Linked DNA regions of Bombyx mori. The protein of the gene in region 1 purifies or fractionates together with the protein of each later gene. This does not show direct contact. Links are inferred from orthologs where the notes say so. Each region holds a gene or a part of one and is shown in the gene's direction. Other genes may lie near its edges.

Evidence for each region.
Region 2: the proteins of COPA (region 1) and COPD fractionate together in Homo sapiens (co-fractionation; 4 studies listed by BioGRID and IntAct, with this or other methods). This does not show direct contact. The link is inferred for Bombyx mori from reciprocal best matches to the Homo sapiens genes COPA and ARCN1.
Region 3: the proteins of COPA (region 1) and COPB fractionate together in Homo sapiens (co-fractionation; 6 studies listed by BioGRID and IntAct, with this or other methods). This does not show direct contact. The link is inferred for Bombyx mori from reciprocal best matches to the Homo sapiens genes COPA and COPB1.

The regions. Positions count from the first base shown.
Region 1 is NC_085132.1:3,505,668-3,509,326, reverse strand, and holds part of COPA (coatomer protein complex subunit alpha), read left to right. Parts: coding exon 1-81; intron 82-626; coding exon 627-779; intron 780-1,560; coding exon 1,561-1,724; intron 1,725-2,435; coding exon 2,436-2,573; intron 2,574-3,607; coding exon 3,608-3,659. UniProt on the Homo sapiens protein: The coatomer is a cytosolic protein complex that binds to dilysine motifs and reversibly associates with Golgi non-clathrin-coated vesicles, which further mediate biosynthetic protein transport from the ER, via the Golgi up to the trans Golgi network.
Region 2 is NC_085130.1:5,917,227-5,920,885, reverse strand, and holds part of COPD (coatomer protein complex subunit delta), read left to right. Parts: intron 1-730; coding exon 731-886; intron 887-1,334; coding exon 1,335-1,411; intron 1,412-3,287; coding exon 3,288-3,376; intron 3,377-3,659. UniProt on the Homo sapiens protein: Component of the coatomer, a cytosolic protein complex that binds to dilysine motifs and reversibly associates with Golgi non-clathrin-coated vesicles, which further mediate biosynthetic protein transport from the ER, via the Golgi up to the trans Golgi network.
Region 3 is NC_085119.1:987,218-991,372, reverse strand, and holds the start of COPB (coatomer protein complex subunit beta), read left to right. Parts: upstream 1-1,345; 5' UTR 1,346-1,549; intron 1,550-2,283; 5' UTR 2,284-2,284; coding exon 2,285-2,375; intron 2,376-2,988; coding exon 2,989-3,218; intron 3,219-3,492; coding exon 3,493-3,662; intron 3,663-3,922; coding exon 3,923-4,130; intron 4,131-4,155. Other genes in the region: E3 ubiquitin-protein ligase TM129, read right to left, coding at 1-46. UniProt on the Homo sapiens protein: The coatomer is a cytosolic protein complex that binds to dilysine motifs and reversibly associates with Golgi non-clathrin-coated vesicles, which further mediate biosynthetic protein transport from the ER, via the Golgi up to the trans Golgi network.

The DNA.
Region 1 (3,659 bases):
AGAAAAAAGAGTGTTGCTCCAGGACCTGCTGGACTGACTGAACACTTAAGGAATCCACAAGCAACAGATCTTTTTGGACAGGTAACGCTAGTGGTTGGTCAATTGGTGTCACTGCTTTCATCAGGGATTATGGCTATGCATTCAAAATATCCGAGGAAGTAATGGTGATCCCGAAGTTAGGGTTAATCTACAAGATGTCCATATGTTTAATTTTCTTTAATCACAGCATGACACTATGTGTCGACTATGTACTGAATAATGTTTTTAAATTATCTTTATTGGGATTTTGGTGAGTTAAAATAATTCTTTGAAAATGAAAAATATATACCCAGCATATATTATTGATTTGTAAATATGTATTAATTATATTTTGTTTGTTTTATTGTAATTATTTACTTTTAACCAGTATCTATTGAATATCTACTTGTACTAACATCCCAAAACGATCCAAATACATCCTTTTTATTTGATCCAAACCTCCATACACAATCATCCAATCATTCTTTGTAAATATATTTTCTGTTCATCTCATTCAAACAAAAAACAGCTATTTGTTATTATGATTTTTTATTTTATTTAATTAATTATTTTTATTAATCAAAATCCCTGCGGTTCCGTTGCTAAAGCAACTGTACATGCAGGCTGATGCTGTTGTGAAGCACGTCTTGGAGGGCCACGATAGGGGTGTAAACTGGGCCTGTTTTCATCCTACTTTACCATTGATCGCATCTGCTGCAGATGACAGACAAGTGAAGCTTTGGAGAATGAATGATTCTAAGGTAAGGCTTTAGTGTATAGTTTATGAAGGTCATTGTCACCAATAATGTCTGACAAATACCTTATTAATAAATAAGCATATGTACATCTCTTTAATAACTACTAGATTAATGAACCAAATTAAATAAAGAAATTATTTTAATTTAGGAAAATTATTAAATATAAACAAAGTGCCATGCCAACCCCACCTAGTGGGATAAGATGGAGAAAAAAAAATTAAATATAAACAAAGTCAGTCTGTTCAAGAATACGGAAATTATAAGCTTCATTATATCATCTGGAATAATGACGTCATAGTTTATAGCCGCCTAACAAATTAGCGAAAATCGATTTGCAGGAAAGTGACAAAGCATTCTGTCTGAGTCCGATTAAAATATTTAAAAGCTATCTGTCTGAAAACCTTATTTATTTTAATTATTTCATAATAATAAATGATAAACTATTTCATGCAGCGCAAGACCAGTCTTTGTGGCGAGGCTTGGGGGAGGCCTATGTCCAGCAGTGGACATCCATGGGCTGATAGAATAGCATAGAAAAAAAAACTATTTCTACAATTCATATAATAATGTCCAATATGTTTATACTAAATTTCTAATAAACTTGAAGTTGAGTACTGAATGCCGAGACTAGCTGCTATCCACAAAATTACCTCTCAAGATCACTTTGCCAATGATATACCACCACTTCCTAGAAGTAAACCACCCTCACCAAACACCTCAGTGGTTCCCCACATGCAATGATGTACTCAGAGTTTACAACTTGAATTATATGCCACTTTTCCAGGCCTGGGAAGTGGATACATGTCGCGGCCACTACAACAATGTCTCCTGTGTTTTGTTTCACGCGAAACACGAACTCATCATATCTAACAGCGAGGATCTTTATATCAGAGTTTGGGACATGTCTAAAAGGACCCTCCTGCAGTCCTTTAGAAGGGAACACGAGAGGTAAACGAATTATTTTATCGTGAAGCTGGTTTGATCTTCTTTCTCTTCAGGTCGTAAACGGGATATTTTTTAGAAATTTCAACTGTTAACGTATGGGTTTCCGAATCTTAATAATTAGACCTGATTTTCGAAAATTGGAATTTCCTAAAAAATTGGATTGGAAATTGGAATTTTCTTAAAAACTTTACAGGGGTAACAAACAAAATTTATTTTTATGGCGTAATAGGTTTTGGCAGAGGGAGGAAGAGGGGGGACAGCCGTTAGTAAAATACAATTGCGTCTTCGATCTCCATGTCTATGGGTTGCGGTAACCACATAACCTTATGTTAGAAATGGACATTGAAAAAAATGGGTGCGGCATTTTTTCGAAAAGTATTGATATTGTACCTCCTCCTTCGATCGGTCATTGCTGAGCATCGTGATGCGCCCGCCTGTGACCTTTTTTTGTAATTTGTAGCCACTTTTGTCAGTCAGTGGCACAGTGAAGTGCGTGGCTCAGTCTCATGTTCAGATGCTCGGACACTTGGTCACTCCATATTTTTCGGCTCCGACCTCAGGATCGTCTTCCATCTACTTTACCCGTCACTATGAGTCTCTCCAGGTTGTCAGAGGGTTTTCTTGCTATATGACCAAAATATTGGAGCACTCTCTATATAGGCATTTGGTGGATATTGTACATTGGAAATTGTACAAACAGTGTCAATTTGACAGGTACTGGGTGTTGACGTCCCACCCCACGCTGAACTTGTTCGCGGCGGGACACGACGGTGGGATGGTACTCTTCAAGCTGCAACGTGAGCGTCCAGCGTATGCAGTTCACAACAATATGCTGTTCTACATTAAAAACAGGTACAAGAGTGTAATCTTGATACTTTTTTTTATTGCTTAGATGGGTGGACGGGCTCACAGCCCACCTGGTGTTAAGTGGTTACTGGAGCCCATAGACATCTACAACGTAAATGCGCCACTCACCTTGAAAAGTAAAGTTCTAAGGTCTCAAGTATAGTTACAACGGCAGCCCCAGCCACCTCAAACCGAAACGCATTACTGCTTCACGGCAGAAATAGGCAGGGTGGTGGTAGCTACCCGTGCGGACTCACAAGAGGTCCTACCACCAGTAACTCTTGGGCCCGTGGACTCGTGGGCCCGTCAGCACAGGAGGCCACAGTCGGCACTGTACTTCAGGGAACATTGAAATATGTGAACTCCATTGTTGACTTGGCATCATATTAATCATACAGACGGTTAAATTACTTAAACAATGGAAGATTACAATAATAATTAGTGATTAAAATCTAATAGGTTTTTGTCTTTTTTTTATCAATATAATTTGAAAATGGTTTATTTTGACAACTATCAGCATAGAAGGTTACAGTGGGCAATGTACTTCAGGGAACATTGAAATATGTCCCATTGCATTGTTGACTTGGCACCATCTTAATCATACAGACGGTTAAATTACTTAAACAATGGAAGATTACAATAATAATTAGTGATTAAAATCTAAGGGGTTTGTGTTTTTATTTTGATCAAGTTTATTTGAAAATAGTTTATATTCATAATTATCAGCATAGAGGGTCACTCACGGTGGGCACTATACTTTGGGGAACATTGAAATATGAGGATTTCGGTCTTGACTTGACTTGATTTTAATCATAAAGACGGTCAAATTACTTAAATAATCAGTGATTACGATAATAATTGGTGATTTAAATCTAATGACATAATACTTTTTTGTGTGTGTTATTTGTAAATATGGTTTAGATTTACAAATCCGTTCAATAAATTTTTTTTTAATGTCAATATTACATTAAAGAGGACAACTTCAGTCGAGTTGAGTCTAGTTAGATTATATAATGAGATGAATTGTGTTGTTTTTCCAGACACCTCCGTAAGTTAGACATGCTGACCAACCGGGACGCCCCAGTTATGCAC
Region 2 (3,659 bases), on another chromosome or scaffold:
CTTAGCTTAACTTAAACTTAAGCTTATGAACTGCAGTTTTGAACATAGTTTTGGATGTTGTAAATATCAATATCTGAATAAAACTTGTTGTAGGTCTTAGGTAATCTAATAGACATATCATTAGCCCCGCAGTTGGTGCGCTCTAGCGGTATATAAACATGTGATATTTTTAATATTAATCATATTTGCAACATTTATATTTTATTTTGTACCAGTTACATTATCTGTCTTTTAAAGTATGATAATATTATGTATTAATTTTGTTAATACATAGTAGTCAAATCATAGGTAAACTAAAAAAAAAACTAAAGCTAACTATGCTCTTTTGACGGTATTTATTAGAAGAATACTGGTGATGCCAAATGATTTCGCATATTAACTCAATTTCGAATATTTTTGGACACTTTTAATACGAAAAGACGAAATATGTAATTTAATTTAATAGAAATATGTATTTTAATTTGCGTAATTACTGGTGGTAGGACCTCTTGTGAGTCCGCGCGGGTGGGTACCACCGCCCTGCCTATTTCTGCCGTGAAGCAGTAATGCGTTTCGGTTTGAAGGGTGGGGCAGCCGTTGTAACTATACTTGAGACCTTAGAACTTATATTTCAAGATGGGTGGCGCATTTACGTTGTGGGTGTCTATGGGCTCCAGTAACCACTTAACACCAGGTGGGCTCGTCCACCCATCTAAGCAATAAAAAAAAAACTTTATTTTCTTTCTTCTAGTCGTACAGTGGGTCGTTCTGCCATGAAGCTCGGCAGCCGCGGCACAGACGCGGACTCGTTCGTGTCCCGACTCCGCAGCGAGGGTGACGTCACGGCGCCCGTAGCGTCGCCGGCGCAACACGACGCCGGCAAGCCCGTGCCCGCCGATCACAAGGAGTGAGTACTGTTTGCAAAACAATTTTTACTTTATCATTTTTTTTTTTAATTATTATTCACACATTGACTTCTGCGCTAAACGTGGACATATTTTTTAAAATGAATAGTCATTATTTTTGTTATTTTTTTTTATCTTCTCTAGAAACCCGAGAACATGCAGTAGTAGGTATACAGACAGGTGCTGCCTTCATAAATAATAGCATTGCTTTGAGATTCTAGCACTGAATGAATAGACACATTATGTTTTTGAATTTGAACCCGATACAGAGCATTTACATTCGGCATTCATTGTAATATTTTCAAAATGAACTCAAAAAATCGAACAGAGAAAGCATAAAGTTAATGTTTTTCTTATTTTAAAATATTCGTCCCTGTATAGGGGTAATGAAAAAAACAACTTTCTAATATCTTCACGTCTTGTACCGCAATGATTGGTTGATTATTTCAGTGTTCACTTGCGCTTCGAGGAGCGTTTAAACCTGATCGCCGGCCGCGACGGTGACATACAAACTTTTGAACTATCAGGTATTTATTGTATAATCTACTATAAACTATATTAAGAGAGAGAGAGAGAGATATTTTTTTCCTACCTTAGCCGATGGTCTTGAGAGACCATATCAGGATCACCGGGCGAGAGAGAGAGAGAGTATTCTTTATTGTACACCAAAAAAATAAACAATGCGATACATTGAAAAGTCGTCGTGGCCTAAAGAATAAGTCAAAAAAGCACAATTGGCGGTCTTATCGCTAACAGCAATCTCCTCCAGACAACCATCATCATTTGGAAACGAATTACGCGCGGTGTACCAAATTAGTGAAATATATATGTAAATATATACATACATACACACACATACATACACAAATACCATACATATGTATATTTATATGTATATATTTACACTCAAGTATAGTGTATATGTGTTTTTGTGTGTACGTCTTTTGTTAATTTATATTTCAATGCACTTACCAATATTTACTCTGCACTACCTTTGGTTGAATGGAAGAGAATGCCTTGGGCATTAAGTCCGTCAACGTAGATAAATACATTTAAGTGTAATAAATGAATTAATAATGTTACTTAATAGAAACATTGCGGTTTCTTGCTTGCTATCACAATAGCAAGGTTCAGTTACGCGGAGAAATGAGTCGACTGTTATCAAAGCCGGCAATGTGACTTTTGGACAATTATTGGTAAATCAGAAAAACGAATTTTTGACTTTGTATTCCATTGGCAGTCACAAAACTCTTCTGAACGACATCTTAGATAAATAACAGGTTAAGTATTAACCTTTATTTAATGCAGGTTTTGGTCAATAACATTTTTTTGTTCAAATGCACAGATTGCCACCTTTGATAATAGACGACCCAAATAAGTCAAAGACACTATTTTACAAACATTTATAATGATTGAAACGCGTACAGATAGTAGGCAGGTGACAGAACGTGGCATAAAACAATAACAAAACGAATAAATAGATGTTAAAGTACTGCATGATAGAAAACATTATTTTGAGGGTAGTATTTCAAACTACGCGACACGACGGCGCGCGTGAGGTCATTGACCCGACACGTGGCAGCAAAAAAAGATATAACTCTATCACTAATGGTTCTATTCGAAATATGAAAAGAGAATTTAACTTTACATAGACACTAGGTGGCAGCACTTTATAATAAGGATTGTAATTGAGTGCTCTCACTGTGTAATAGAAGAGAATAAATAAGTTTGTACCGTTTCTAATTAAATTGTTTTAAAACCAAAAACCGATAATCCAATTAGGTTCCTGCTCTTAAACTTAATCTGCCCGTGCGACATCCCTCTCCTTGCAAAGTATTCGTGATTAAAAGGGGTAAATAACAGTATTGAAGTACCACTGAGACCTCATGGATCAAAGTTGTCGCACATGAGACGTCTTGGGCTCCGGTGACCACTTAACAACGGCTGGACCGGGAGCTATCCGTCTCGGTACTTCAAGTGTGCATAGACTAAGGATAGGAAGTGAATATAAAGCCCCATTTAAAGCAATTGAAGCTTAGTGTAACATATTTAAGAGAGCTTATAAAGCTCTGAGAATAAAATAAAATTGTAATGAACAAATATCGAGTGACGGTATTTAAAAAAAAACCTATATAGTAAAAAAATAGAGTGAGAGAGAATATATTTTATTTCACATCAAAATAGAATTAACATCGACAGACCGTCAACAGGTCGGTATAATTGTACAACAGGCTTATCGTTAAAAGAGATCTCTTCCAGACAACCGTTTATTATCTACAGAAATTCTGTAAAAGACACATTGCGATGTACTATATAATATGTAGATTTACTAGAAATATTCAAAATATTGTTTTTTTTTGTTCACCGTACATCGGTTGCCAAATAGAAATGTTTGTTCGACAGGTTTGCTGACGCTACGCATTAGCAACGAGCAGTTCGGTCGCATACACGTGCACGTCGACAACAAAGACTCGAGACCGTTACAGTTGCAGGTAGGCTATGTTTTAGCCATAGGGATGATGTGGAAGAAACTCTGAATGCGAGAACGAGAGAGAGCTAACGAGGAAAACGTATCTTAGAGAGAACGCGAGCATAAAAGCATTCCTAAAGACTGACGTCACTGCGAAGATGATGCTTAGTTTTTTAGGGGATTTTATGACCTGGTAACTAAGACCTTTAAGTCATGTCTTATTTTAATTTATATTCTCACTTTTATGTAAAGTTATAATATGGAGTGAAATTAAATTAAATGAAGATGATTAATTTGAGACATTA
Region 3 (4,155 bases), on another chromosome or scaffold:
CGCATATAGAGAATAGAACGTAGAAAAGTGTAACTAAAACATCCATTCTGATTTTTTTTGTATCTATTGATTAAAAAATTGATTGAAATACATTCCCAAAATGGATATAGGAGTTTATTGACAAAAGCTGTCGACTGAAAAATATCTAACGTATCACGGAAATAATTCATGTAAATCCACTAATATAAAATTGATCGAATTTCAATACAATTCCCACTGAATCGAATTTGAATTCGATGTCAATTAATGATAATAAAAATATATACTTATTCGGTTCCTAGGATAAGCAAAGGAAACACAGTCCAAAGCATTCTTAACTTTGAACGCAAAAGCCGCGCCGTTTTTTATGAAAATTGAAGTGTAGAGTCTGATTGTTTGGAATCATGTGAGTAATCTTGAATCAATTGGTCTCTTAATTCTATTTTATAATTTACACTACTCTTCTCCTTTGTAGTGACAACTGATATGTATTTTTTGTTACTTTTCCTTCGATCAATATAATAATATGTAGTTGGTGACAGTCAATCAAATTGATTTTCATCGATTTCTTTCAGTGATTAAGCAATTGAAATTTTTGAGTAAAACTCAATGATTTTAATTTCAATTGGATAAAATGAACCAAAACAACATCCCAAATAAATGCAGAGGCAATAAAATATTTTCCGAGGAAAATTATGGAAATTTTTTACGAGGTTAACTGACTTTTTGGAAAAACTTGAGAAGCCACGTCGAATGATAAACAATTTATACCTTCAAACATGAAGAAAAACTAAATTATCAAAATATAGCACACGTCTAGAAATATTAAATGGTGGTAGGACCTTTTGTGAGTCCGCGCGGGTAGGTACCACCGCCCCGCCTATTTCTGCCGTGAAGCAGTAATGCGTTTCGGTCTGAAAAGTAGGGCAGCCGTTGTAACTATACCGAGATCTTAGAGCCTATATCTCAAGGTGGGTGACGCATTTACGTTGTAGATGTTTATGGGCTCCAGTAACCACTTAACACCAGGTGGGCTGTGAGCTCGTTCGCCCATCTAAGCAATAAAAAAAATATATATATTAAAAATTTGAAAAGACATTACCTTACAGGTGGTAGGACCTCTTGTGCTTGTGAGTCTGCACGGGTAGGTACCACCAAAGCGCCTATTTTCTACCGTAAAGCAGTAATGCGTTTCAGTTTGAAGGTTGGGTAGCTTTTATAACTATACTGAGACCTTAGAATTCATATCTCAAGGTGGGTGGTAGCATTTACGTTGTAGATGTCTATGGGCTCCAGTAAGCAATTAACACCGGGTGGGCTGTGAGCTCGTCCATCTAAGCAATAAAAAAAATAAAAAAAACACTTAAAACGTCAAATGTCACTTGAGTGGCGTAAATGACATGTCGGTTTCTGGACACGTATTTGTGTATGAGGAGGAGCTAAATTAATAAATTGGATTAATTTATCGTTTTTTTGTGTATTTTAGTACATACATGAAGGATTATTGAATTATTCATAGTTCATTCTTATCGTGTGATTTCGTGGCCCAGTATATCTTTAACTCATTCAGGTTAGTATGAGAACAACATGTCACTGTATACCGGACGAGTAAACCACGAATTTTTAGGCAGTATCATATCAACACTCTATCGTGTTGATGCTACTGCCTAAAATATCTGCTAACATATGATAGCAAACGAAATATTGAATACGAATGATCGTAAATTACAACTATACTTTTAAAGCAATCTTAAACAATTGCAATTTTGATTTTCCAACTGGATCATTTAACTAGTAGGATAAACATAGAAAAATAAAAATTAAAGAAATACATTACTAACTAAATATGACCAAACACACACACACACACATTTATTTGCCCATAAATTAACACTGCCAGGATCGGGACAGCTGAAAAGTTGAGTAAAACACATGTTAATAATCTACATTGGCTACTCTTATTTATGATCTTGTTTTCCATAATTGTTAGATTATTAGTAATAACGTTAGGAGGTTTGCAACAACAGTGTTCTACAATTGTTCTGGTATCTATTATACTGGTAGTACTCTACAAACTGACATCCTTAAGGGCAATATGTTAGCTGATTCCATTAGTGTTGCAGAATGATGAACCAGCTCAAGTTTAGCTATGGCATTGTCAATGCTTATGACCTGGGGATCATCATTAAATGGTTTGAAGAGTAATTAACAAATGTTTTCTGGTTTTGAATAAACATGAATTGTGATTAGAAAATTTGCAGTTACAGTCAAATTATTACTAATAAATTTAAATGTTTAACTCAGGATGGCGGTTGTGGAGCAGCCATGCTATACTCTTATCAATTTTCCAACTGATTTAGAACCATGCAATGAGATGCAACTTAAACTTGATCTTGGTGAGTAGTTTTGCATAATTCTTGGTCAGTAAAAGCTATTTATTAGTGACTTGGAAATTACAATACAACTTTTTTCTTCCAAAAATGTGGTAACGACTTGGAAGTGTGATTGCTACCTTGACCCCCCAGTATTATGCATGTATACTTTTGGATCTGTGTTATTATTATTATTCATTACATAGGGTGTTACTGTACACCAGTAACTCTGATCTACATTAATTTGTAGTTTGCACTTATGTTATTAGTTCCTATTTAGACCTAAAAAGTCTGAAAAATATGCATTAATATGCTATGAATATTTTTTGAAATTGAGTAGACTTAGGAATTATGTTTTGCAAATGACTACTAAAAAACACATGTGTTCAGTATATAATAAAAACTTCTAAAAGAAATGTACTTCTAAAATGTACATTTCCCTATCAGACAACATAAAAATATTTTTATCCTTAATACATATTTGAAAACCCTTCAAAACGCTTGTTTTTGAAATAAAAAGTTTTATGCACCGTCTACAGTGGTAGATGGTAATCACAAATATTTTTTGTAGTAAATAAAATAAGCAACCTTGCCCCCAATGTTGACTAAATTATATTTTACATCACAAACTTTACAGAGAAAGGTGATACAAAAAAGAAAATAGAAGCATTAAAAAAGACAATAGGAATAATACTTTCTGGGGAAAAGATACCAGGTCTGCTCATGATCATTATTAGGTTCGTGTTGCCATTGCAAGATCACATGATCAAGAAGCTGCTACTTATCTTTTGGGAGATTGTACCAAAGACCTCACCTGATGGAAAATTATTGCAGGAAATGATCCTTGTCTGTGATGCCTATAGAAAGGTTAGGGTGACAATCATATTTTTGCCTTTTTGAAGTGATTATTTCCAAGAAAATTAGTATGAAACTGTCTCTATTTTGTCAGAGAATTGTAGCTGCGTTCAAATCTCATAGCTATTTATGCATTTTAGAGTCTACTGTTTCAAAATTTAACTGTAAACAAACAGTATTTGATTTTAATAACTTTTAAAAATGTGTTCTTTATAATTTTATTAATTTACTAGTTAATCATCCTACCACTGTGATTTGAGTGTAACAGTATTTAAATCGACTATAGGATCTTCAACATCCAAATGAGTTCATTCGCGGATCTACTCTGCGTTTTCTGTGCAAGCTGAAAGAGCCTGAACTCCTTGAACCCCTAATGCCAGCCATACGGTCCTGTCTCGAGCACAGACATTCGTATGTCAGGAGGAATGCTGTTCTTGCTATTTTTACCATATATAGGTGAGGAATATATAAAATCTAAATTCATTTGTAAAGTTAATCAACCACAGGAAGTCTTATAATATATGATGATATAAAAAAATAATATGGATCTTGTAATTGCAAAACTTAAAACTGGTTATAGCTATATTAAGATTAAGAGGTATATTAATATATTATCTTCTATCAATAAAATAGATCAAATAGGAAATGCCCTGGGAATTCATCTGTAACAATTAAATGTTATTCATAATATATCAGTATTAAAATTTTCCTTTTAGGAACTTTGAATTCCTAATTCCTGATGCACCGGAGCTGGTAGCAAACTTCCTGGAGACTGAGCAAGACATGTCTTGCAAGCGTAATGCCTTCCTCATGCTGCTGCATGCTGACCAAGAGCGTGCTTTGACATATTTGTCTTCTAGGCTCGATAATGTACACAGCTTTGGAGATATTCTTCAATTGGTCATAGTCGAGTTGATTTATAAGGTTAGTGTCCTAATATTGAAATACA